Arabidopsis thaliana: one gene and its partners. The protein of the gene in region 1 interacts with the protein of each later gene in a pairwise test. Each region holds a gene or a part of one and is shown in the gene's direction. Other genes may lie near its edges. The genes, in order: GRF8, KCO1, HDA05 and IDH-III.

Evidence for each region.
Region 2: the proteins of GRF8 (region 1) and KCO1 interact in a two-hybrid assay, tested with the Arabidopsis thaliana proteins (one study listed by BioGRID).
Region 3: the proteins of GRF8 (region 1) and HDA05 interact in a protein complementation assay, tested with the Arabidopsis thaliana proteins (one study listed by BioGRID).
Region 4: the proteins of GRF8 (region 1) and IDH-III interact in a two-hybrid assay, tested with the Arabidopsis thaliana proteins (one study listed by BioGRID).

Annotation. Positions count from the first base shown.
Region 1 is NC_003076.8:26,147,401-26,153,012, reverse strand, and holds GRF8 (general regulatory factor 8), read left to right. Parts: upstream 1-2,536; 5' UTR 2,537-2,757; coding exon 2,758-3,243; intron 3,244-3,514; coding exon 3,515-3,637; intron 3,638-4,209; coding exon 4,210-4,383; 3' UTR 4,384-4,446; coding exon of another isoform or gene 4,447-4,467; 3' UTR 4,468-4,631; downstream 4,632-5,612. Other genes in the region: AT5G65440 (uncharacterized protein), read right to left, coding at 1-225, 321-469, 550-891, 963-998. UniProt on the Arabidopsis thaliana protein: Is associated with a DNA binding complex that binds to the G box, a well-characterized cis-acting DNA regulatory element found in plant genes. Involved in the regulation of nutrient metabolism.
Region 2 is NC_003076.8:22,528,839-22,534,335, forward strand, and holds KCO1 (Outward rectifying potassium channel protein), read left to right. Parts: upstream 1-2,519; 5' UTR 2,520-2,598; exon of another isoform or gene 2,599-2,848; 5' UTR 2,849-2,879; coding exon 2,880-3,805; intron 3,806-3,889; coding exon 3,890-4,055; 3' UTR 4,056-4,284; downstream 4,285-5,497. Other genes in the region: AT5G55620 (uncharacterized protein), read left to right, coding at 1,535-1,840; AT5G55640 (Na-translocating NADH-quinone reductase subunit A), read right to left, coding at 4,406-4,696, 4,779-4,879, 5,028-5,085. UniProt on the Arabidopsis thaliana protein: Voltage-independent, large conductance and potassium-selective tonoplast ion channel. Regulated by cytoplasmic calcium and pH. Does not mediate slow-vacuolar (SV) ionic currents, but essential to establish VK currents.
Region 3 is NC_003076.8:24,565,431-24,573,088, reverse strand, and holds HDA05 (histone deacetylase 5), read left to right. Parts: upstream 1-2,097; 5' UTR 2,098-2,171; coding exon 2,172-2,374; intron 2,375-2,870; coding exon 2,871-3,072; intron 3,073-3,182; coding exon 3,183-3,329; intron 3,330-3,428; coding exon 3,429-3,541; intron 3,542-3,675; coding exon 3,676-3,887; intron 3,888-3,963; coding exon 3,964-4,040; intron 4,041-4,193; coding exon 4,194-4,364; intron 4,365-4,489; coding exon 4,490-4,573; intron 4,574-4,789; coding exon 4,790-5,023; intron 5,024-5,112; coding exon 5,113-5,306; intron 5,307-5,410; coding exon 5,411-5,537; intron 5,538-5,621; coding exon 5,622-5,686; intron 5,687-5,786; coding exon 5,787-5,952; 3' UTR 5,953-6,306; downstream 6,307-7,658. Other genes in the region: HDA18 (histone deacetylase of the RPD3/HDA1 superfamily 18), read left to right, coding at 1-56, 155-366, 445-509, 641-811, 956-1,792; AT5G61050 (histone deacetylase-related / HD-like protein), read left to right, coding at 6,474-6,677, 6,762-6,955, 7,050-7,179, 7,262-7,326, 7,442-7,607. UniProt on the Arabidopsis thaliana protein: Responsible for the deacetylation of lysine residues on the N-terminal part of the core histones (H2A, H2B, H3 and H4).
Region 4 is NC_003075.7:16,906,043-16,911,364, forward strand, and holds IDH-III (isocitrate dehydrogenase III), read left to right. Parts: upstream 1-2,454; 5' UTR 2,455-2,541; coding exon 2,542-3,054; intron 3,055-3,140; coding exon 3,141-3,380; intron 3,381-3,503; coding exon 3,504-3,582; intron 3,583-3,656; coding exon 3,657-3,931; 3' UTR 3,932-4,166; downstream 4,167-5,322. Other genes in the region: SERAT3;2 (serine acetyltransferase 3;2), read right to left, coding at 3-76, 174-340, 428-522, 611-635, 725-820, 938-997, 1,101-1,298, 1,684-1,935; AT4G35655 (RPM1-interacting protein 4 (RIN4) family protein), read left to right, coding at 4,713-4,919. UniProt on the Arabidopsis thaliana protein: Performs an essential role in the oxidative function of the citric acid cycle.

The DNA of each region.
Region 1 (5,612 bases):
GATTTTGGAACAGACGTCTCAGTAACCAACTCAGAAGGTCCCTTTCCCAGTAACTCTTCTTCAGAATGAAGGAAAAACCTCTGCAAACTAAATGCATTCCGCATTATGGTGCATTCATTGTTGAGGAAGTAAGAAGCCTCGCTGACACTATCCGTTGACCATGAATGAAGACATAACCGTACACAGGCTTCATAGGCAATCATCGCAGACCATGGACCTTGCTCACTGCATTCAAACCACACAAAAAATGATGGAATGAATAATCACAGAGGATTAAAAAAACAAGAAAGCAAAATCTAAGTCAGCAATGTAACTCAAACCTCGCATGAAAGGTGGGGAAACGAGGCAATGAACTTGTTGAAGTGCTTGTCCCGTTCAGAGTCCTTCCTGAAGTTCCAGCCTCAACATTTCGTCTTTCAAATTCATTATGTGAAGATATATTGTTCCGCACACCACAAGCTTCTGCTTCCTGTAAACATGATAATCAAATCAGAACATATTTAGAAACGGTAAAGGAAAACGAGAGACAAGGGGGTAAAAAGTAAGTACATATGAAACTTCAGTGCTAGTAGCTGAGTCAGATAAATCATCAGCAGCACCAAAGACCTTAGCACCATTACGTCCAAGTCCATTTTGAGCTGCGACGTGAGGCAAACCAAGATGAATTCTATAATCTTGAGGAGAGTGTTGCCTCTCGAATATCTCTTCATCTGAATCAGAAGCAATGTCCATGTCTGAACTTGAACCACCATTGTTATTACCTCTCACGGGTTTAATTGATGAAGACAATGGAGGAGCACTCCTGAATCCAAAACCATGACCAGAATTGGCATTGGGAACAGACTTAGCATCCAATTTCCGATTACCAATCGTCCACCTCGAATCAACATCCTACAAAACAAGCATTAGTTACAGCAAAATCAAACAACATCGAAAAATGCAGATAAAGTTTTTGTTCGTACCTCTCCTATGTTTCTTAAGCCAGCTTCCCTGAACATTGCTCCTTACCTTTTAACCTAAATTTCAGAAGAAAAATTATCAAAATTTTCATTCACATTCAACAATCAAATCTCAGTTCTATAATGAAATCCCTAAAACATAGCAACTGAAACGAAATCAAACGAAATCAAACGAATCGAAGGCTACAAAAGCGAAATTCTAGTGAAAACGGCAAAAAGAGAATGTAGCAAGAAAGATGAGAATTACTTTTTCTCTCTTTCACGAAATTCACATGAAAGAAAGCGAAATCGTGAACGGAAACTCACAAAATTGAAGAATCGATCTACTTCTCAATGCCAAAAAATGTTAATGCATTAGCTTACTTACACTGCCCAGAGAAGACTCTTCGGAGTTTTTTCGTTTCTTTTTTTCCAGTGAAAGAGTCAACACAAGTGTGAAACCAGAAATTTTTCCAGTAGAACAAACTGGTTAAATTTCTTCAAATTGACTACAGGTGGAAAATTCGACCAGTGACAGTCATTGGACTCAAATTTCACAATGAAGAAGAAGAAAAATGGAAGATCGATTGAGGAAGCTCTTATATTTCTTTCTCTTTTTTTATTTAATCTTCCTTTTTTTTTATGTAAGTTTAGTAAAAATTGCGCCACCATAGGAAAAAAATATATACGGTGAGAGCGGAGAAGAAGAGCGGCGTTGGATGGAGACGTCAATTAACGGTGACGGCGACTTTTATTACGCTTAGCGTAAAACTGACGTGGCAAGTGAAGATACGCCCTTTCTTTCTCCCATAACGGCAACGTTATGCGCGCGTGACGGTGCGTCTATCAGAGAATCAATTTGCATTACATTAGTTTTGGAGAATTTAGGTTTTGTTATAAATTAGTAAGAACTACGAGTGTATACAGATTTTTGTTAACCCAAATAATCTAAACAACTTTCCAGTATTAAAAACATGAGTAATCGATTTCTTCAGATTTTTCGATCTAATGATTTGGTCGCATTTGATTAACCAACTCTTTATTATTTTGTTTTTCATGCCAAACAAATGTCCTGCCGGATCTCAATTATCTCATTTGACTAATCAAATTAATATAGCATAATTTTCATCAATTCTCATTTATTGAAATTTACAATGAATCAACAAATAAAAACCCACAAAAAACGAATTCAATTAATTTGATCCGGTCTTTTAAATTTAAAGTATTGGAAAATGAAAATAATTAATTTTCTTTAATCAACAATATAAGAAATTAAAGAATATGAGTATTGACCAAAAGAAAAATTAATATCAACGAAAGAAAGAATTTGGACAACTTTTTCTTGTCTTCATATGCCTTTTCTCCGACCACATTAGTTGTGTCCAGGTCACGCCGAAAACGCATATGCTTAGCCAGCAAGGTAATAGCTTTAACAGGCTTCAAAAAGCCCATCTAAAGCCTAATCAAAAGCCCGTATTCTAACATTTGACCTTGAACAGTGTCAACTAGTTGGGGAAGCTGACGCACTAAATTATTATCGTCCATTCACTCGCTCTTATCAAAAAAACCGAAACCTAGCCACGCGCCTCGTACACTCAACGTGGGTTTCACGCTGTTAATCCTTATTTCAACTAACGACGTCGTTTATCAGAGTGTGTTAATCACGCGCGAGTGAAGAGAATTTCCTTTTACAGCTCATTATGACTCGGCTTTGAAGCTTTTTATTCTTCTTCTCAATTTCTTTTTTTCTTCCAGAAATTTCCTCCGATTTCAAAATTTTCCGGTGAAATCGAAAAAAAAAGCGAGATCTTCTTCTCTAATGGCGACGACCTTAAGCAGAGATCAATATGTCTACATGGCGAAGCTCGCCGAGCAAGCCGAGCGTTACGAAGAGATGGTTCAATTCATGGAACAGCTCGTAAGTGGAGCTACACCGGCCGGTGAGCTGACCGTAGAAGAGAGGAATCTTCTCTCGGTCGCGTATAAGAACGTGATTGGATCTCTTCGTGCGGCATGGAGAATCGTGTCTTCGATTGAGCAAAAGGAAGAGAGCAGGAAGAACGAAGAACACGTGTCGCTTGTTAAGGATTACAGATCTAAAGTTGAGACTGAGCTTTCTTCGATCTGTTCTGGGATTCTCAGGTTACTTGATTCGCATCTAATTCCTTCAGCTACTGCCAGTGAGTCTAAGGTTTTTTACCTGAAGATGAAAGGAGATTATCATCGTTATTTGGCTGAGTTTAAATCTGGTGATGAGAGGAAAACTGCTGCTGAAGATACTATGATCGCTTACAAAGCTGCTCAGGTATATCTTTGATTCCCTAAATCCTTGAATCGATCCTGTTGTGGAGCTAAAACCCTATTTCTGAGATTACTTCAATTAGCTAATCTGTAATCAGTTGTCTCATAATAAGTAAATTGGTCTCGAATCTAGCTATTGTATTGATCCTATCGTTAGAAGTAGTCAACTTTTACTATTTGGGCTTAAGATCAATTGCTTCCCTAATATGTCTTAGTAATATATAATTGTTCTGAAAATATGTATTTTTGCTCATTCGTGGGTTTTTGTATTGAAGGACGTTGCAGTTGCTGATCTAGCACCTACACATCCGATCAGGCTTGGTTTGGCTCTTAACTTCTCAGTGTTTTACTACGAGATTCTCAACTCTTCAGAGAAAGCTTGTAGCATGGCGAAACAGGTACTCTTTCTTCATCCACTATACTGCATGTTTGTTTCAAGTAGAGTTTCTCTGTCTGATCATCATTGTCTTAAGTTTGGTTAGGGAGAGTGTAATTTGCATTTTGAGTTACTAACTTGACCACTTGTTTTACTATTCCTATTGGCCCCATCTTGTATTCATTGTGTTGGGTTGATTTGAAGGAATTTTGAAACCTTTACCAGAAATAGACAAGTTGTTTATAAAAAGTAACTCTTTCTTCTTTCTGAACGGACCCACTTCTTTTTAATAAACAGAGATTCTAAAGAAAAAGACATTCTGCAAAGTCCTCTTTTGATATAACTTTTTTGACTAACGCTTCACATTAACCAAATTATTCCTTTTGTCAGTAGAATCTCTTAAAATGACAAGACTTTAGAACCACAATATCTCATACATTATGCATACGAGATTGTGTAGAATCTGATCGGGGTTTTGGTGCATATTGAATCCGGAACATCTCATGCATCACATATACAAGATTCTATAAGACTATTAAAGCTCATCTTATCATCGCATTTCTAACTTGTTCTTGTTGGATTCATCACCTCTAGGCTTTTGAAGAAGCCATTGCTGAGCTGGACACATTGGGAGAGGAGTCATACAAGGACAGTACTCTCATCATGCAGTTGCTAAGGGACAATCTAACCCTTTGGACCTCCGATATGCAGGTTTGCCCAATTCTATACTTTCATATTCAATTGCATCATCAGAAACTCGCATATTGATAGTCTTATAAGATTATTCGGATAATAACACCCCAAAACTCAATGATCGACTGCTTTATTCAGGAGCAGATGGATGAGGCCTGAAGGTCTAATGGAAGAAAAGACGGTTATGTAATGTACCTGCAACCGTAACCGAAAATCTGAGTTCAACCTCCTTTGCTGTAAAACTTGTCGAAAAGAAAAGTTTGTTTTTTTATGACAGATTATGTGCACAGCTTTGGTGTTATCTGCTGCTCTGTATCAACTCTGTTTTTGTTTGGTAATTTATCCTCATCTTTGCTTCTTTTCTTCTCAAAATTTTATATTTCAAACAAAGTAACAATATCTTAGCTTGGTTTGTGAGTTCCTCGAGACTGATGAAACGCTTAGTGTAGCGTTTTAGATGATTTCGCTTATGAGTGGTCAAGTTAACGGTTTGGTTTCAGTTCAGTTGTTTTCAAGAATTTGCTTTCTAGTAGTAGTATTATGTATAATTGAAACTCGTATTAAAAATCGGAGAAGTAGCTGAAACAAAAAAAAAAAAAAAAAAAAATCGGAGTTTAGACAACCTAAATCATCAAGAGTGATCATTATAGAAGACTCATAAATCAATGGAAGACAAGTAAATGCGTGATGACGATTCAAATTTTCATGAGATTACAGAGATATAATACAACTGTTAAATGAAAAAAACAAATAATATTTTACCTGAGAGTCTTGAGCGTAATTACGATTTCCTATATTGATTTGACTTGAGAGTTGAGAGTAGGAAAATATGAACGTTGTGAAACGGTAACATTTTTTATGAACGTTGTGAAACGGTAACATTTTTCGACCGTTTGATGTAATATTTTTTTTGTAAGAAATTCAGATTATGAGTCTATAAGTACTCCTTTCTTCGTTCAGAAATCTGAATTCTCTTATTCAGTTTATATTCTTACAAATGTCGAACACACTCTGTTTTTGTTCTTTTAGTTCTGTTCTCTTCTGTTCTGCTACTTGAGTTCTCGTTCTCACTCGAACTTAATGCTCATTAGCCGAGGGAGAAACGAATTTTTGAAGGCATATAAAGGTAAAAGTCTCTGCTCTAATAATTAATTCCTCTAGTTTTCCCTTTACCATTAGAAGATTTCTCTGTTAATTGCTGTGTTTGTCATCTTCCATACATGTTTTATAGAGTTCAACAAACATTAAGATGCTCTGTTTTAGCTGTCATGACTCTGTTTAGTTAGTGTAGTAAACTATTTTAG
Region 2 (5,497 bases), 3.6 Mb from region 1:
ACCTAAGATAATGAATGCATGAATGCATGGTTTTCAACACCCTGAAAAAGTAAACCGGTAAAATTCATCGTGGGAGTCAAAATTGGTAGAGTTTAACATGCTTATTATTAATTTGCACACCCATTTCTGTTGTATGAGTGTAATCCACACACAAAAAAATTGTTTAGCAAATTGTTACACAAAACAGAGCTTAGGTAATAAGAAAATTAGCAAATTGTTACAGAAAATATATTCTCCTAAGTTGTCTAGCCTCTAGTATCCCGATACCATACAATCCACAAAACAGAGGATGGAATAAAGTGAGAGAGGAAGGAACAGAACAATACATAAGAAATAAAAAGCAACATAAAAGATTGGGTGTTCTTGTTAGTTAATTAGAAGAATGTTAAATTGTCATTATAAAATATTTTTTAAAGAATGTTAAATTTCTAGAAAACTTATCTTTGTGGGATGAAGAGAATATTATTTTCTTTTAAAAAAAGTTTTGTATTGTTAAATCTAAACATATACATCAAACTTTAAAAATCAAAGCAAAAAAAGAATATCTCTCCTTTTGCATGCTTTTGACATATTGAATTTAATAGGTAATTTTCTTAATTAAGATGTTAAACTTATGGATTCATGATTTGAACAAAACTGAAAAAAGTATATGGAAGCGTTGGTGAGATTCATACCTATCAAAATGAACAAAAGGATCACCAACCGAATAGTAAAACCAACTACTGTATTTATCATGGCCATTTTTCTTCTTCTTTCTTAATTTCTCTCTTTATTAAAAATTTGTTAATTATATCATAATCTTAACTGTTTTATATAAAAAGTGTTTTTTCCTAGAATATACAAGGTATTCCGCAAAAAATGCCAATAAAAATGGTTTTAAATTAAAAAGAAAGACCAAAACTCATATAACCTCAAAAACATAGTATGTTATTTTTAGTTAATATAAATATTAAATACTTTCACCTACTTTCTCCTTGCACACCACAACTGTTTTATACTTGTCCCCACCTAAGATAATGAGTGCATGAATGCATGAACCATCATTGGCCGATGCGTTTCCTGGTGCATGTAGCTCACAGCCGTCGTTCTCACATTTTGTTATTTATGATCATACTTTTTTTTCATTAAAAGGAAAAAGGTTTACTGGTTTGGTTTAGAACAAGAACTACTCGTTATAATCATACTTTTGTTTAATTAAAAAAACAAAAACAAATAATTTCTAGTACATCTTATATTACATACTATAGTTTGATGATAAAAATAAAATTCAAATGACGATTATCATGTCGAAAAGACAAATAATAATTGTCTTACTGACCTACCTGCCTGCCTCTATATATATACTAGTCTTTGGTCGCCTTTACTATAACCAAACATCGAGCTTGCCTTAGAGTTTGTCTCAAGCTTCTCCTTTTTTGGTATTTTGTCTTAAGCTTCCTTGCTTCTCTTTCTTCTTCTTCTCTACTCTTTCTCTCTATTTCAAACCTTCGTTTTCTTTCCTTTTTTGTATAAAATCTTAAAATCAACCAAGACAATGGAAATGAAATTGCTCTTTACATCGGCTTTCACCCAAATGTTCGGCTACTCGAACCATATGGATCAAGCCAGCAACTGCCAAAGCACCCGCAACAAAATTATAAAGATGATGAAGAAAGAAGAATTCCCAAGTGGATTCCAAGTCCCTCTTCACTACCCTAAATACTCCAAGTCTGATTACGAAGTTATGGATGATCTCCGCCTTGACTTGCTCCTCAAACAATATGGATTCTCCTTTGAAGGATCTCTTGAAGACAAGAGGGTTTTTGCAATTGAATCATTTCTCTGGCCTGATCAGCTTTAGATGGTCTATGTTGGTGTTGAATGATCTTATATCGCTCTCCACATGCATATCAATGAGCCTATACTCGAGTGGTTGAATGTTTTTAAAATTATGTCAAATTACCATGTATATCAATCACTTAGTAATGTTTTAGAACTATGTCAAATACTAGTGTGTGTTATATTTCTTTGTGTGTGGGGATGTTTTGAAGTATGCAATTCTTCACATATATATGTATCATATGAGTGCATTAATAACATCTTTGATGTCATGTATAACACTAAAAAAATGTGATTTATCGACTTATAAAAATCTTAACATATTGACATTAACATAAAACATATAGATTATTGTATGATATAGATTAAACATGACGTCATGCTGGATATTTTGGCTTATTGGCTTGTACATTACTTGTGATTATGAGTGTATAATATAAAACTAATTACTAGATTTGCACAAAAAAAAAACAGAAGGATAGAAAACTAACTAGAAAATTAAGACATTACATACATTCTTCTATATGAAAAAAAACATTTAAAAAACAAAACAAAACATTTTTATACTAAGATACTAATGAAAAATCCTATCAAGAAAATGAAGAAGATCATAAAAACAAAATTATCGGATTTGAAGAGAATAAATTTTGACCAAAAAAAAAGAAGATAATTAAAATAAAATAAAAACAAGAATTGGCCAACTGTGAGAACATCATCAATGAAGACCAATTGCGAGATCCGACAACACCGCTTCTTTTGATTTCGATCTTACTTTCCTGGGTATGTCTCAATTCTTCTTCCTCCTTCAGTTCGTGTTCTGTGTCTGATTGATTACTCTCACAAAACTCATCTTTTCATTGTCTAAAGGTCTAATCTTTAGCTATAACTCAAAATCTGTATCTAAGTTCTGACAAGTTTCTGTTACGAAATTCAAATTTTTTGATACATATGTTCATTTCTCAGAACAGGAGATGTCAATTTTGGCGATGGTTTTCGTAACATAAACATGAGATTTGATTGTTCTGTGCAGATCTCATAGTTAATCTGGTTTGAGTCTAGAAATGTCGAGTGATGCAGCTCGTACGCCATTGTTACCCACTGAGAAGATAGATACCATGGCTCAAGATTTCAACCTGAACTCAAGAACTTCTTCTTCAAGAAAACGAAGATTGCGTCGCTCTAGAAGTGCTCCTCGTGGTGATTGTATGTACAATGATGATGTCAAAATCGACGAACCACCTCCTCATCCGAGTAAAATCCCAATGTTCAGTGATCTAAACCCGAATCTCAGGCGAGTGATCATGTTCTTGGCTTTATATCTTACCATTGGTACGCTCTGTTTCTACCTCGTGAGAGACCAGATCTCCGGTCATAAAACCAGTGGTGTGGTAGATGCTCTCTATTTCTGTATAGTAACGATGACAACTGTTGGATACGGTGACCTTGTCCCTAATAGTTCCGCCTCAAGGCTACTTGCTTGTGCCTTCGTCTTCTCGGGAATGGTCCTCGTTGGTCACCTCTTAAGTCGAGCGGCGGATTATCTAGTGGAGAAACAAGAGGCTTTGCTCGTTAGGGCTTTCCATTTGCGTCAAAGCTTTGGTCCAACAGACATTCTCAAGGAGTTGCATACTAACAAGTTGAGATACAAATGCTATGCTACATGCCTTGTCCTTGTAGTCCTCTTCATTGTTGGCACGATTTTCCTTGTAATGGTTGAGAAAATGCCGGTTATCTCAGCTTTCTACTGCGTCTGCTCCACGGTTACAACATTGGGTTATGGAGATAAGAGCTTTAACTCGGAAGCCGGACGCCTTTTTGCTGTGTTTTGGATCTTGACGAGCAGCATATGTTTGGCTCAGTTTTTCCTTTATGTAGCTGAGCTAAATACAGAAAACAAACAGAGGGCGTTGGTGAAATGGGTTTTAACGCGAAGAATCACAAACAATGATCTCGAAGCAGCTGATCTCGATGAAGATGGAGTTGTTGGGTAAGAAAGACATCAGACATATTCTATCTTCTGTTTCCTTCTTCCTCTTCTTATTCTTTTTTTTTTGTCTATTGTGTGTTGCAGAGCTGCAGAGTTTATTGTGTATAAACTGAAAGAAATGGGTAAGATTGATGAGAAAGATATTTCTGGGATAATGGATGAGTTCGAGCAACTTGATTACGATGAATCAGGAACTCTCACGACTTCTGACATCGTTTTAGCTCAGACCACGTCTCAGATTCAAAGGTAAGCCTCATCATCATCATCATCTTGCGAAGACGAATCAGAATCTTTGTTTAGTTATACCTTCACACAACAAAAAGCCGAAGAGAGTGAACAGTTTTTCGAAATTTTGTTTGTTTTTTCCTGTTTGTGTTTGTAATGTAATGCCACACTCTAACTCTTTGATCGTTTCTTGATGCTGAGTGTATAATTTTACATACATCTATACATATGAAGCTCTCTAGTGTTATGCTCCATGACCAAGAATTCATGGATGATTCTCTCAAAGGACAGGGTATGAAGACTGTTTTATTGCTTTAAACTTTTTTGGTATTTTGATTGATACAAAACATTTTCAAAAGATAGCGGTTTCTCGCGTTATGGAAGTCGTCGTTTCTCGAACTGAGATTCATGGCAATGAGGGTCAAGCCAGTCTCTTGAAACACCTTTTCCCATATTAGTTCCTTTCTCTGCACCTGCACCCCCGCCTACAAGCTCTCTTAAGTTAGCCATTTTGTTTTCTCGACCAGAGCCGCTCATTTTCTGATCTGCTTCCTTGAGCATCTGCTTAAACCGCTGCTTGCGGCTCGATGTGTTACTACCACCATCTTGTAGCTGCGAAGGAGGAGCTCCATGTGGTCCTAAGTAGATGTTTTCTTCAGCTTTACTCTACAAAATCATACAATGAGAGATAAAGAGTTAACAACATTTTTTTGAAACTTGTCTTGTACGTAAGAAATCAATCACTAACCTTAGGAGAAGAAGGTTTTGATGTTTCAACTTCTGAATCATTATTATTATTAACCTTGTCTTCTTCAATCTCCAAGCTCGGAATCACAAACCCATCAGTGTCTGCCACCAATCAAATGATCGACTCAAGATTTGTAATTACACAAGAAGATACAGAAATTTGAATGATTGAATCCGATCACATAAACACGAAAGAACCCTAATTTCAATAAAGAAATGCAACTGAATCGATTAAAGCGAAATTACTTACCCCATTCATCATTGTCTTCTACCTTGGGAAGATTCGTCTGCATTACAGATGTATCCATTGAAGACTAACGTTCATGGACACTCTCCGAAGGACCAACAGTTTACAAAAAATAATTTCTCAGCTCTTTGGCTTTTGAATGTGAATTTATGTATCAATTTTACAATAATTCGATTATTTTTCACCTGATTGATTTTTCGCGAAACCCTAAATGTTAGAGCTTGGGAAAAGGGGGAAACAGATAAATAATGATGGTGTTGAGGCGAATCGGATCGGATCCGGATTCGATTGTTTGCGATTGACACGGCGGAGAAGGAGATGTTAGGGATACTTTTGTAATCTACTATCGATGGTCGGTATTCAGCCACGTGTCAGCTACTCATTCGTGAAACTCCTAGACGAAAATGTTGCGTTGTGCTTTGTGAAACAAAACTAGTACTATGTGTTTGGTTTTTTGTTTATATTAGGGAAAT
Region 3 (7,658 bases), 1.6 Mb from region 1:
GGTACACAGAAGATGTTCTGGAAAGATTCTCGCGTACTAATATTCTCTGTTCATAGGTATGTATTTGCAACCTCTGTCTATTCTTCTTTCCAAACTACTTTTTCACATGATCTTTGTTGAGGTTTAAAGTGACTGGAAATGCATTTGTGACTAGGCATGATCACGGAAGTTTCTATCCATTTGGCGATGATGGAGACTTTAACATGGTTGGCGAAGGTCCAGGTGAAGGGTTTAACATTAACGTTCCATGGGAGCAAGGAGGATGTGGAGATGCAGACTATCTTGCCGTATGGAACCACATCTTGATCCCTGTGACCAAGGAATTCAAACCAGATATTATTTTGCTTTCAGCTGGATTTGATGCAGGTTTGTATGGTCTAACCATTTGTTTCAAGGCTTTGTGACGGTAAGCTGTGTGTAATCTTTTCAACTTCTTCTTAACAGCTATTGGTGATCCGCTTGGGGGTTGTTGTGTTACCCCATATGGATATTCAGTTATGTTGAAGAAGGTTGGTGTTGAAGTGAACTGCCTCTTTTCTCCATTGTTTCTATTATGCGTACCATGGCTTCTCTACCATTGAAAATAACAAAGCTACATAATTTTACTTGGATATGACATCATTTAATTGGTTTCTCTCAGCTGATGGAGTTTGCACATGGAAAGATAGTGCTGGCATTAGAGGGAGGATACAATCTTGAGTCATTGGGAAAGTCTTCACTCGCATGTGTCCAAGTTTTGCTTGAAGACAAACAAATTCATGGTTCATCTGAAACATACCCATTAGAATCTACACGGCGTGTCATACAAGCGGTATGGCTCTATATAACCCTAACAGTCTGAAATTTTGTATGAATTGGCTACGATTTCTCTTTTCAGCTCAGTTCTTGTGTCATAAATATTGTATATCGCCTATGTTACTAATTGACAAAGCTCATCTGTTTCTTGTGGGTTTAGGTACGCGAGAGACTATGCACATATTGGCCTTCACTTGACGCGTCAATGGCGTCTAATGAGAATTTAAAGAACCCAAGTGCAGAAAGAAACTCCGCTGACGCCCTCCTTCGTGAAGTGGAAGAGTTAAAGTCTCTAATGGCTGCCCGAGATGGAGAACTGGAGGCAAGGAGAAAAGAGTTAAAGGCCAAAAATAAGGAGCTAGAAGCGAACGAGAAGGAGCTAGAAGCGGGACTAATGTTGATTCGCGCTCGGGAGGATGTAATCTGTGGTCTTCATGCAAAAATAGAGAGTTTGCAGCAGGAGCGAGATGAGGCGGTAGCGAAAGCTGAACGCATAGATAAGGAACTCCAAGAGGATAGGGCAAGAAGCCAGGAGTTCAAAGAAGACACAGAGTTTTGCTTGAGTACGTTAAGGAGGGAGAAGGAGCTTGCCATCATGGCCAAAAATAAGGACCTAGAAGCGAAAGAGAAGGAGCTAGAAGCGCGGCTAATGTTGGTTCACGCTCGGGAGGATAAAATTCATGCCAAAATAGAGAGGTTGCAGCAGGAGCGAGATGAGGCCGTAGCAAAAGCTGAACGCATAGATAAGGAACTCCAAGAGGATAGGTCAAGAAGCCGAGTTGGGAATGGATCTTTTGCCTTTTCTCAGGAGTTCTATGAAGACATGGACTTAGACGAGCTCGAACCTCTGTCTCCGGAGTTCAATGAAGACATGGACTCGGAAGAGCTTGAACCGTTTCAGGTCATCAAGAAAAACATGGAGCGTTCCCACAAGAAGTTCATAAAAGATATGGAGTGTATCAAGTTTATCGCCAGTGAGAGAGCCAGGGTACTTTAGGTTGGGAGCTTGAGGCCGTAGCAGAAGACTACCACAAGTTTCGCGAGATGGTTGATAAGCTCGGGAAGAGCAACATATACCCTTCTTAGAAAGTACAATGGTGTTTCATTGTAACCACAGAACCTTTTTGTGATTGTAAACCAACTGTGTCGTGTCAGACTTTGATTGGTTGCGATACTTGGTTTCCCAATTTCCCTCCAAAGAATCTCCAAATTGGTCAAACTCTCAAACCTAAAAAAAAAAAAGGAGAGAATGAAAAAAAGAAAGAATTGAAAAGTAAAAAATACTTGGAAGCTTTAGAAGCTGAGAGCAAAGACTTGACCTTTTTCACTTCCTTCTCACTGATCGTCGAACAATAAGGCCGTCGCATCTCCCAGTTATGGCTATGGCCGGAGAATCTTCCGGCAAAAAAATTGGAGACTGTGACGGTAAAGTCGCGGGGAACAGACAGCGAAAGGTGGGTCTTATTTACGACGAGACGATGTGCAAACACGACACACCTGACGGCGAGGATCACCCTGAGTGTCCCGACCGCATCAGAGTTATCTGGGAGAAGCTTCAGCTCGCCGGAGTTTCTCAAAGGTTCATACTTTCTCTCTTCTTCGTGCGGCTTTGTTGTTTGTTTGATAATATAAGCCCTAGAAAATGCTCAAATTTAGTCAAATTGGGTACTTTCTGATCCTGTCAGCTGAGAAACTGGTCTCAATTTGTTCTTCCTTGTTCGGTATGAAATTTACTTTTCTCAATTTGAATTGTGCATTTCATAGAATCAAAAGGTTTGTATGCTGCTCAATTTTAACGGTAACCCTTCATAAATTTGCTACCTTTTCGTTATGTTCGGTCTTGTGTTCGAGTTATTTCCTCCATGTCTGTTTTATAACCCTCTCTGATATCAATTTTATATTTTTCATATTTGTTTGAATTTCACTCATAACATTATTAATTAGAGTAATGTGGCAGCACATTAGTTAGGGAAGGTGGAATCTAGTCTTTGAGGTGTGTATCCATCACGATTTGTTTTTCGATTCGGATGAATTGGCCTGCTATGTATTGACGATCTTGGTCTTTTCTTTTGCAGATGTGTGGTTCTTGGTAGTAGCAAAGCAGAAGATAAGCATCTCCAATTGGTTCACACAAAGGACCATGTTAATTTAGTTAAGAGTATTAGCACAAAACAGAAAGATTATCGGAGAAACAGGATTGCTTCACAGTTGAATTCGATTTATCTGAATGGAGGTTCATCTGAAGCCGCATATCTTGCAGCTGGTTCTGTTGTAAAGGTAATAATACTAGTTGATTTGTTTCTTTTTACAATAGGAGGATACATTAGAAACTGTTAGAATGATTTGATTGAATATGGGGTAACAACATTTTTCTTTCAACTTGACAGTTGGCAGAAAAAGTTGCAGAAGGAGAGTTAGATTGTGGTTTTGCTATTGTCAGGCCCCCAGGGCACCATGCTGAGGCAGATGAAGCCATGGGTTTTTGTTTATTCAACAATGTTGCCGTTGCTGCTAGTTTTTTACTAAACGAAAGAGTAAGGACTTGTACTGTTTGCTTTTAATTACTGTCAAATTCTTTGGTCACATTCCTTTGGAGTGCGTGTTCCCAACTTCTTTGCTTTTCCTGAATGCAGCCGGATCTAGGGGTCAAGAAAATTCTGATCGTTGATTGGGATGTCCATCACGGAAATGGTACCCAGAAGATGTTTTGGAAAGATCCTCGTGTACTATTTTTCTCTGTTCATAGGTATGTAATTGTGACCATTGTTTACTCTTCTTATGATGTCGCTTGTCATGATTTAAGGAGCCTACTTTTTACTCTATTACCCCTTTGCTTGATTTTTACGCTTGGAAAGTAACTGGAAATGCATTTTTGGTTAGGCATGAGTATGGGGGTTTCTATCCAGCGGGTGATGATGGCGATTATAACATGGTTGGGGAAGGTCCAGGTGAAGGGTTTAACATAAATGTTCCATGGGATCAAGGACGATGTGGAGATGCAGATTATCTTGCTGCATGGGACCATATCTTGATTCCTGTGGCGAGGGAATTTAACCCGGATGTTATTTTTCTTTCAGCTGGATTTGATGCAGGTAAACATGGTTTAAGCATTTTTTTAAGCTATGTCTTGTTCAGAGGTGTGTAACCTTTTCAAACTCCTCTTAACAGCTATTAATGATCCGCTAGGGGGTTGTTGTGTGACCCCATATGGATATTCAGTTATGTTGAAGAAGGTTGGTGTTGAAGTGAACTCCCTCTTTTGTCCATCATTTGTATTTGCGCTCCAGGGGTCTCCATCATTGAAAATAGCACTTCTTGCTTTAGCTGGTTGTTTGTCCCTGAGCTAAATAATAGAAACTTGCATTTAATATCATTCTGTTTCTCCAATGTTCTCTCAGCTGATGGAGTTTGCACAAGGAAAGATAGTGCTGGCGTTAGAGGGAGGGTACAATCTTGACTCAATTGCAAAGTCTTCACTTGCATGTGTCCAAGTTTTGCTTGAAGACAAACAAATTCAAGGACCTCCGGAAGCATACCCATTCGAGTCGACATGGCGTGTCATACAAGCGGTATGGCTCTATATCATCCTATCTTTTAACTTTCTTATTTCACAATCTGAAACAACCTTCCATAAATGGGCTGTAGTCCTCATGTTACTAGTTGACCAAAACTCATCTGTTTCTTGTGGGTTTAGGTGCGCAAGAGGCTATGCACATATTGGCCTTCACTTGCAGATGAATTATCGTGGAAGCTAATTAATCAGAAAACTCCTACTCCAGTTGAGCACCCTTCTTTTTGTCTACCATTTCAGTTGTTCATTGTTCATCAGAGAGCGTTTCCTTGCCAGATCGGATTTAGAAAAACCTCACTATTTTTAGCAACCACTTCTTAACTTCTTTGTCTCTATACAAATTTTCCTTTGCTTGATCTTCTTTTTAGGCGACAGACTCGGTATTTCTTATCACATAATTTCTTTCTTATTTGTTCACTATAGATCATCCTTATCTCAAGCTCCGACTCTGAAACTGAAGACAACGCCCAAGGACTCCTGGATCAAATGTCGAAACTCAGCATTGAAAACCCTCAAGGTACACTACTTGAAAACCACCAAGTAGAACCTGCATCTACATCTTGGAGAGCTGATCTCGCAAAGGTTGACGTTTGGTATGCCTCTTTTGGATCCAACATGTGGAAACCAAGGTTTCTTTGCTATATTCAAGGGGGACAGGTAAGTAACCTGTTTTGTTTTGTTTTCGGGGTCGAGTCTGGGCTTTGGTCTAACTTGACACATCTATGGCTGTTTGTGTTTATTTTTAGGTCGATGGATTGAAAAAGGTATGTGTTGGCTCAATGGATAAAAGTCCACCAAAGGAAACAGTGTGGGAAACATTTCCACATAGATTGTTCTTTGGCCGTGAATCTTCAGTTGGTTGGGGTGTAGGAGGAGTTGCTTTCACCAACCCCCTTGCTAATCTCATTGATCAAACTCACATGTGTTTGTACCGTATCACGTTAAGTGTACCACTCTTCATCGCAGTTTCCGTTCACTTTCCCTATTTTATTCATTTGGTGATCTTCTCTACTTATTCACTATGGATGTTATTTTTGTGAACAGGCTTGAGCAGTTCAATGACGTTCTGTCTCAAGAAAATGGTTTGAATGTGGATTCAGATTCTCCGGTCTTTGATCTAGCTGCTTTGCAGTTAGTAGATAACAAAGGATCCATTTTAGAAGCTCCTTTGGTTAGTCAGATAACAAATGTTGATTGATACGCTTATAAAACATGTAATAATCACACTTATACTCGTTTATTGACATTTTTACAGAATAGTTGGTATGGAAATGTTGTCTGCTTGGGAAAAGAACGCGACATTCCTATACTTACAATGACGTAAGTTTTCATCATTCTTTTTCTTTTGCTGCTCATAAACCGAGTTAAACAGCTTTCATTTTTTTTTTCCTGAGGTTTCTCAATAACTTTGTGTTTGCAGTTGCACGCTTTCCGCTGTTGAGAAATTCAAATCCGGTGAGATCCCTATAAGACCTCCTGCAAAAGCTTATGCCAACACTTTAATAAGGGGACTTGTGGAAGGAGGAAGATTATCTAAAGAAGAAGCTGAGGCTTACATAGACAAGGCTGTGTCTAAACCTCTCTAGTGTATAATTATTTACTCAGAAACCGCCCGTTTGAACACGATTTGGAGCTTCGGGTTTCTGAGTTATTCAATTAGGATAAAAACCACAAGTTTAGGAATATTGTGAGACCTTTGAATTTGTCTTTTGAAAGAGAGGACTGTGTCCTCTGTTAGCTGTGTTGTGCTTGCTCCCTAAGCAAACTCTCAATGTATTTTAGTTATCTTCGGGTTTTAGGCTTTACCAAGAAGCTGTATTCGGTAAATGTATTAAAGAACCCTCCAAACTGCTTTATATTGACCGGAGAGAAACATTCTTATTCTTCGGAATGGTACTTTGAAGTTTGAAGAGTTATTTTAAAAAAAGATTTAACAGCACTGTGAAGAGTTCTGGTCAAACAAACCTATTTAAAAAAAAGAGATTGGAAAACATGTATAAATAAAAATTGAAACGTAAAAATACTTTGAAGCTTCAGAAGCAAAGATTGGACCATTTCTCTTTTTTCTCCCTGCTCGTCGAACGATAGACTCTCTCATCTCCCGCATATGGCCATGGCCGACAAAAAATATGGAAACTGTGACGGTAAAGTCGCCGGGAAAAGCCAGCAAGGTACACTAGTTGAAAAGGAGCAAGTAGATACCGCTTCTACATCCTGGAGAATTGATCTCGCAAAGGTTGACGTTTGGTATGCCTCTTACGGATCCAACATGTGGAAACCGAGGTTTATTTGCTATATTCAAGGGGGACAAGTAAGTAGCCTTGTTTCGTTTCTTTTTGGAGTCTGAGCTTGTGTCTTAATTGACACATCTATGGCTGTTTGTGTTTATTTTCAGGCCGAGGGAATGATAAAAGCATGTGTCGGTTCAATGGACAAAAGTCCACCAAAGGAAATAATGTGGAAAACATTTCCACATCGATTGTTATTTGGCCGTGAAACTTCAATGTTTTGGGGTGTAGGAGGAGTTGCTTACACCAATCCCCTTACTAATCTCAATGATCAAACTCACATGTGTTTGTACAGAATCACGTTAAGTTTCTTCATCTCCGTTTCCGAGTTTTCTCTTTTCATATATCTGATCTTTTCTACTTATTCATTATATGGTTGTTGTTTTCGTGATCAGGCTTGAGCAATTCAACGACCTTCTGTTTCAAGAAAATGAGTTGAACGTAGATTCTGATTATCCGTTCTTTGATCTAGCTGCTCTGCGGTTAGCAGAGAAGGAAGGATCCATTTCACTTCAAACTGCTTCGGTTAGTCAGATAACAGATGGTTATTTAATAGGAACATGTAGTAGTAATCACACTTGACCCCTATATTGACATATTTTTACAGGATAGTTTGTATGGGAATGTTGTCTGCTTGGGGAAAGAAGGCGTCATTCCTATACTTACATTGACGTAAGATTTCATCATTCGTTATTCCTTTGCTAGCTCAGAAACAGAGTACTTAAACTGCTAAGCGGATGCTCTCTTTCAACTTTCATTTTTTTCTCAATAACTTTGTGTTTTGCAGTTGCACGCTTTCTGTTGTTGAGAAATTCAAATCGGGTGAGATCCCTATAAGACCTCCTGCAAAAGCCTATGCCAACACTTTAATAAGGGGACTTGTGAAAGGGGGAAGATTCTCTATAGAAGAAGCTGAGGCTTACATAGACAATGCTGCGTCTAAACCTCTCTAGTGTATTCAATTAGGATTAAAAAGAAAAATAAATCACAGGTTAAGAAATATT
Region 4 (5,322 bases), on another chromosome or scaffold:
ACCATGCTCCATTGTCATAGATGGATCTTGCTCATCAACAAACCCGATGAGTTTTGCTGGATTTCCAGCCACCATGCTTCAGAAACGCCCGAGAGAAAATGTCAATTTGAGCAATGTTCAAACAAAAAAGCTCAACGAGATTGATATTTAGATGCATGTCAGTGGTTTCATACCTATGCGAAGGAACATCCTTTAACACAAGCGAACCAGCAGCTACCATTGCTCCAGCGCCTATCTTAATGTTACCAAGTATAGTCACACATGCTCCAAGAAGAGCACCGTCGCCTATATTTGGATGGCGGTCACCGGTTTCTTTCCCAGTTCCTCCTAATGTCACACCCTGTAACATGAAAATATAAGCTAGCATTTATAACATCAACAGTTCTTTATAGTTTTGGAGAAATGAAGTTAGAGAACGGATTTGTACATGCAAAATTGAGACACGGTCGCCTATCACAGCAGTCTCACCTATGACCACACCAGTTCCATGATCCAACAATATTCCTTTCCCAATTCTTGCAGCTGAGCAAAAAAAACAGAAACCAAAGTTATTCAGATGCTAGATGTAAAAGCATAGACAAGCTATTAGCTATGAATCTAAAATCTTTACCGGGATGAATATCGATTCCAAAAACCTGAGAGAAACCATTGACATGGATCAGAGGTTAACGTTGTACACCAAGACTATAACAGTAACCAAAGAAGTTGTAGAAGTTACTCTTACCTCGCTTACTCGGCTTTGCAGTGCCAATGCTAATAGTTTTCTTCCTTGCTTCCACAACTTATGTGCTACTCTATACGCCTGCAGTGCAAGATAGCCCTGTGGAACAAACTATTCTGGTAAAATACACATGAAAACTCACTTAGCAATCATTTTATATCGGTGTAAGAGATGTTATTGTCTTTAAATCAGCAACTATGATGGTTAAGAGACTACCTTCAGATGTAAAATAGCCGAACTATACGATAGACAAGCAGGATCTCTGTCTTTGAATGCCTTCAATGGACCAAAAAAAAAAAACATTACACTGCAGTCACATTCTCAGACAATAATATCAGTGTCAAAAGGAAGATTCACCGATACGAGATAGCGTTTTTACCTGAACATCAAGACGAATCGAGCTTTGAATACCTCTGTCATGTACCATAACGTTGCAAAATATATCCATAAGCTGAGTTGCCAACAAGGTAGGGTTTTGGAGACGGTTAGCTAGAACAAAACTCAATGCTTGCTCTAAACAGTCATGCGACAAGATACTAGCATACAAGAAGCTACTCAAAACCGGCTCCTCTTCTGCCTGTAAAACACACAACAATATTCACCATTAAAGGAACATAAACACACACAAACTCTGTTCCTTAACTTGTCCTTCGTGTAGTTAATGAAAAATTGACGCTGAAAAAGTAGACGGGTGAGAGAAATACGTAACAGCAAGAAAAATTTAAAAGCTTTAATCAAGTAGTTAAAGAGACAGAGAAAGCATTTAGTGAGAATTCGACCCCACGGTTTTGTCGGATTGATATAAAAGGTACACAAGAATGTCATTATCATAACCTTTCAATGTAGAAAATCGAAGTTGATTAACAATATCAAAGTTTCTGTCTTTGTTGAATTGAAGTCACATATATGAAAAACGTATAAATCAATAATAAGAATATGATTATGGAGCATAAGGAGAAAACCTCAAGCTTAGCTTCTTCTCTTATAGAATCCCAAATTGGGTCATAACTAGAATTGGTAAAATCCAGCAAAACCGGGTCGGCCACGGGATTAAGGGTTCCTCTAGCGTAAACCGGGAAAATCCTCTCGAAAGGAAACTCGTCACCGGTCTCTCCATCGTCTCTGGCAGAAAAGTTCCGGGAGACAATCATTGGAAGAGAAGACAAAGATGACGAGGAAGAAAAATCACGATTCTCGCCGTTTATACAAGCCATGACCAAAAAGAGTGAAGCTATTGGTGAAGAGTGTAGAGAAGATGATAAAAAAAAGGTTAATGATAAGGAAACTGAGAAACCCTTTTAAACACAGTGATTGATTGTGTTGGAATCGAAGTAGCGACAGTCAAAAAGATAAAAGAAAAAAAAAAGTAAAACTGAAGTCTTGTGTTTCTGTCCTCACTGTTTTGGAATGTTTCATGCGAAATCAGATGTGGTCTCTCTCTCTCTGCTCTTGTTTGTAATGCGTGTGACCGTGATTCAGTCCAAGTTCTTAATACCACCACCATTGCAAGAGAATCCAAAACTATTTGGAAGTATCCTTTATCTATATTACTTTAAACGTACCACACACGAAGTGGACGTGAACTTTAGGCTACAATAAAACATTTCTTTATATTATCATAAAACAATTTTCATTTTTTTACAAAATATTATTTTAGAAATTACAAAAAAATGATTGAACAAAATAATTTTTTTTGGAATAAAGCTGATTGGCCAAAGAAATAAAATAAAACTGACAAAGGCATAAACGCTGCATGTAAATCGCCGAAAACGAAATCGACCTTCGTTGCTCTGAAACCCTAAAAGAAGCTAAATCTAGCAATGGCGAGAAGATCCGTTTCGATATTTAATCGCCTTCTGGCGAATCCTCCTTCTCCATTCACATCACTGTCCCGATCCATCACCTACATGCCTAGACCCGGAGATGGAGCTCCACGAACCGTAACCCTAATTCCCGGCGACGGAATCGGACCTTTGGTGACCGGTGCGGTGGAACAGGTCATGGAAGCGATGCACGCGCCAGTGCATTTCGAGAGATACGAGGTTCTAGGAAACATGAGAAAAGTCCCTGAAGAAGTGATCGAGTCTGTGAAGAGAAACAAGGTTTGTCTCAAAGGTGGATTAGCGACTCCTGTTGGTGGGGGTGTCAGTTCTTTGAATATGCAATTGAGGAAAGAACTCGATATCTTCGCTTCTCTTGTCAATTGCATCAATGTCCCTGGATTAGTGACGCGACACGAAAATGTTGATATCGTTGTGATAAGAGAGAACACTGAAGGAGAGTACTCAGGTCTCGAGCATGAGGTTGTTCCTGGTGTTGTCGAGAGCCTTAAGGTAAACCATATATAATTATAGGGATTGTTTTTAGTCCAAATTGTGATCCCTTTTGTATACATGATGTTGTTGAATTGTTTGTGTAGGTGATAACAAAGTTTTGTTCTGAGAGAATAGCGAGATATGCATTTGAGTATGCGTATCTAAACAATAGGAAGAAAGTGACTGCTGTTCATAAAGCTAACATTATGAAGCTTGCGGATGGGCTCTTCCTTGAATCTTGTAGAGAGGTTGCTAAACATTATTCGGGGATTACTTACAATGAAATAATCGTAGACAATTGCTGTATGCAGCTTGTCGCCAAGCCTGAGCAATTTGATGTCATGGTAATGCTCTTCTTTTCCTAGTTACAAATCAAAATGAGTCATTTTGAAATGTGACAGACGATGAAACCATCATTGATGTTGTTTTGATGTCTCTCATGGATATTTTTTGTTGGTTTGTTTCAGGTGACACCTAATTTGTATGGTAACCTTATAGCAAACACGGCGGCTGGAATAGCCGGTGGCACTGGAGTGATGCCAGGAGGTTTGTCAAATAAATATAATAGTTACAGTTATAATCTTTCGTAAAATGACGTTTCTTGGGTTTGTTGGGGACAGGGAATGTTGGTGCAGAACATGCGATATTCGAGCAAGGTGCATCAGCAGGGAATGTGGGGAATGATAAGATGGTGGAACAGAAGAAAGCGAATCCGGTGGCTCTACTTCTCTCGTCGGCTATGATGCTAAGACATCTCCGGTTTCCTACTTTTGCTGATCGGCTTGAAACAGCAGTGAAACAAGTGATTAAAGAAGGAAAATATAGAACAAAAGATCTTGGAGGAGATTGTACCACGCAGGAAGTTGTTGATGCTGTCATAGCAGCTCTTGAGTGAAACCATGTGAGCTTCTCTGCTTCTGCTTGCTTCTTCTTTCGTCTTTTTCATTTCAACTAAGAGAAAAGTGTTGGTTTTCTCTGTTTTGCGTTGCTATTTTTTGTTTCTTGATTCATTTTTGTTCTCTTTTTGATTAATATCCGATCTCACGTTTGAGCATGAGCTCTATGTTATAAAATAAAATCAATAAGGACAGACAGAAGCAATGTTGTTTATCAAGCAAGATTTTGAACTCTTTTTGCATCAAAATTAGGTAAAAACACTAATCAAATTACTTGTTAAAAAAGGCATAATAAATGACTTGAAGAAAATGTGATACAAATTTAGATTTGTTGAACTCATTGACCAGGAGGATATTATATAAGGTCTCTGATTACTAAACAAGCATGTAGAGAACCAAAGATAACAGTAGCACCAAATAAGAAAACAGAGCAGTCATGGATAAGAAGCATTTTGCTATAATTAGGGTTTTACAGGGTATGACGCGCAAAGACCAAAGATTTTGAACCTCAGAATGTTTAAGAAGAAATGCGTAAAGAGAAATATCTTGTCTCCGTGTTTCATACGAGTACATTCCGTAGGAACATTTCATAACAAAACTTCTCTGTTTCTGCTTTATTGAAATCTTCCAACTATAAAATACACCCTGAGTCCATCATCTTTTGATCAATTAGAACGATCTCAGAATAGAAGTCATTGAAAAAGAAGAACAACAATAAAAGGAAGAAAATAATTTGTTTTTGAGAAATTTTGCTCTGATTTGTTGATCCTGAAGATTGAAATGGCATCGAATAGTGACGCAAGGCCTTTGCCAAAATTCGGAGAATGGGATGTGAATGATCCGGCGACGGCAGAGGGATTCACCGTTATATTTAGTAAAGCCGGCGAGGATAAAAAAACAGGTCGGAGCTCTAGCAAGGCACCTTCACAGAGAAAACAAGACGGCGTTAAACCAACCAAGAAATGGCTCTGTTTTACTTTTTCTTGATTTCCTGTAAATTTCTTAAAACGTTTGAGAATGGCATTGAGAAACTCTTACCTTAGAACCTTTTCTCATTTGCTTAGCATTTCTCTTTATAAGATGTTGCAGAGACGAGAAAGTAGATAGTTTCTTGTATATCTTGTTTGATGTTTAATGTTTAATGTTATGTTTCGTTTGAAGCTTAAGACTAGATTTTGAAAACCTACTAGTTCAGATTTTACAACAATGCACGTTTTGCAATGCCACCTCCAAAAACAATCATAATCTTTCTTCTTGGTCTTAGTTAATTTAAAAACGAATAGTTACTTGTTTGACAAGAAACCCCTCTTCTGCTCCAAAGTGGATGAATCAGGATTCAGCCAAATATTATATGAGATCTGCCGGTTTCTGTGTTCCCAGGGCAAATAAA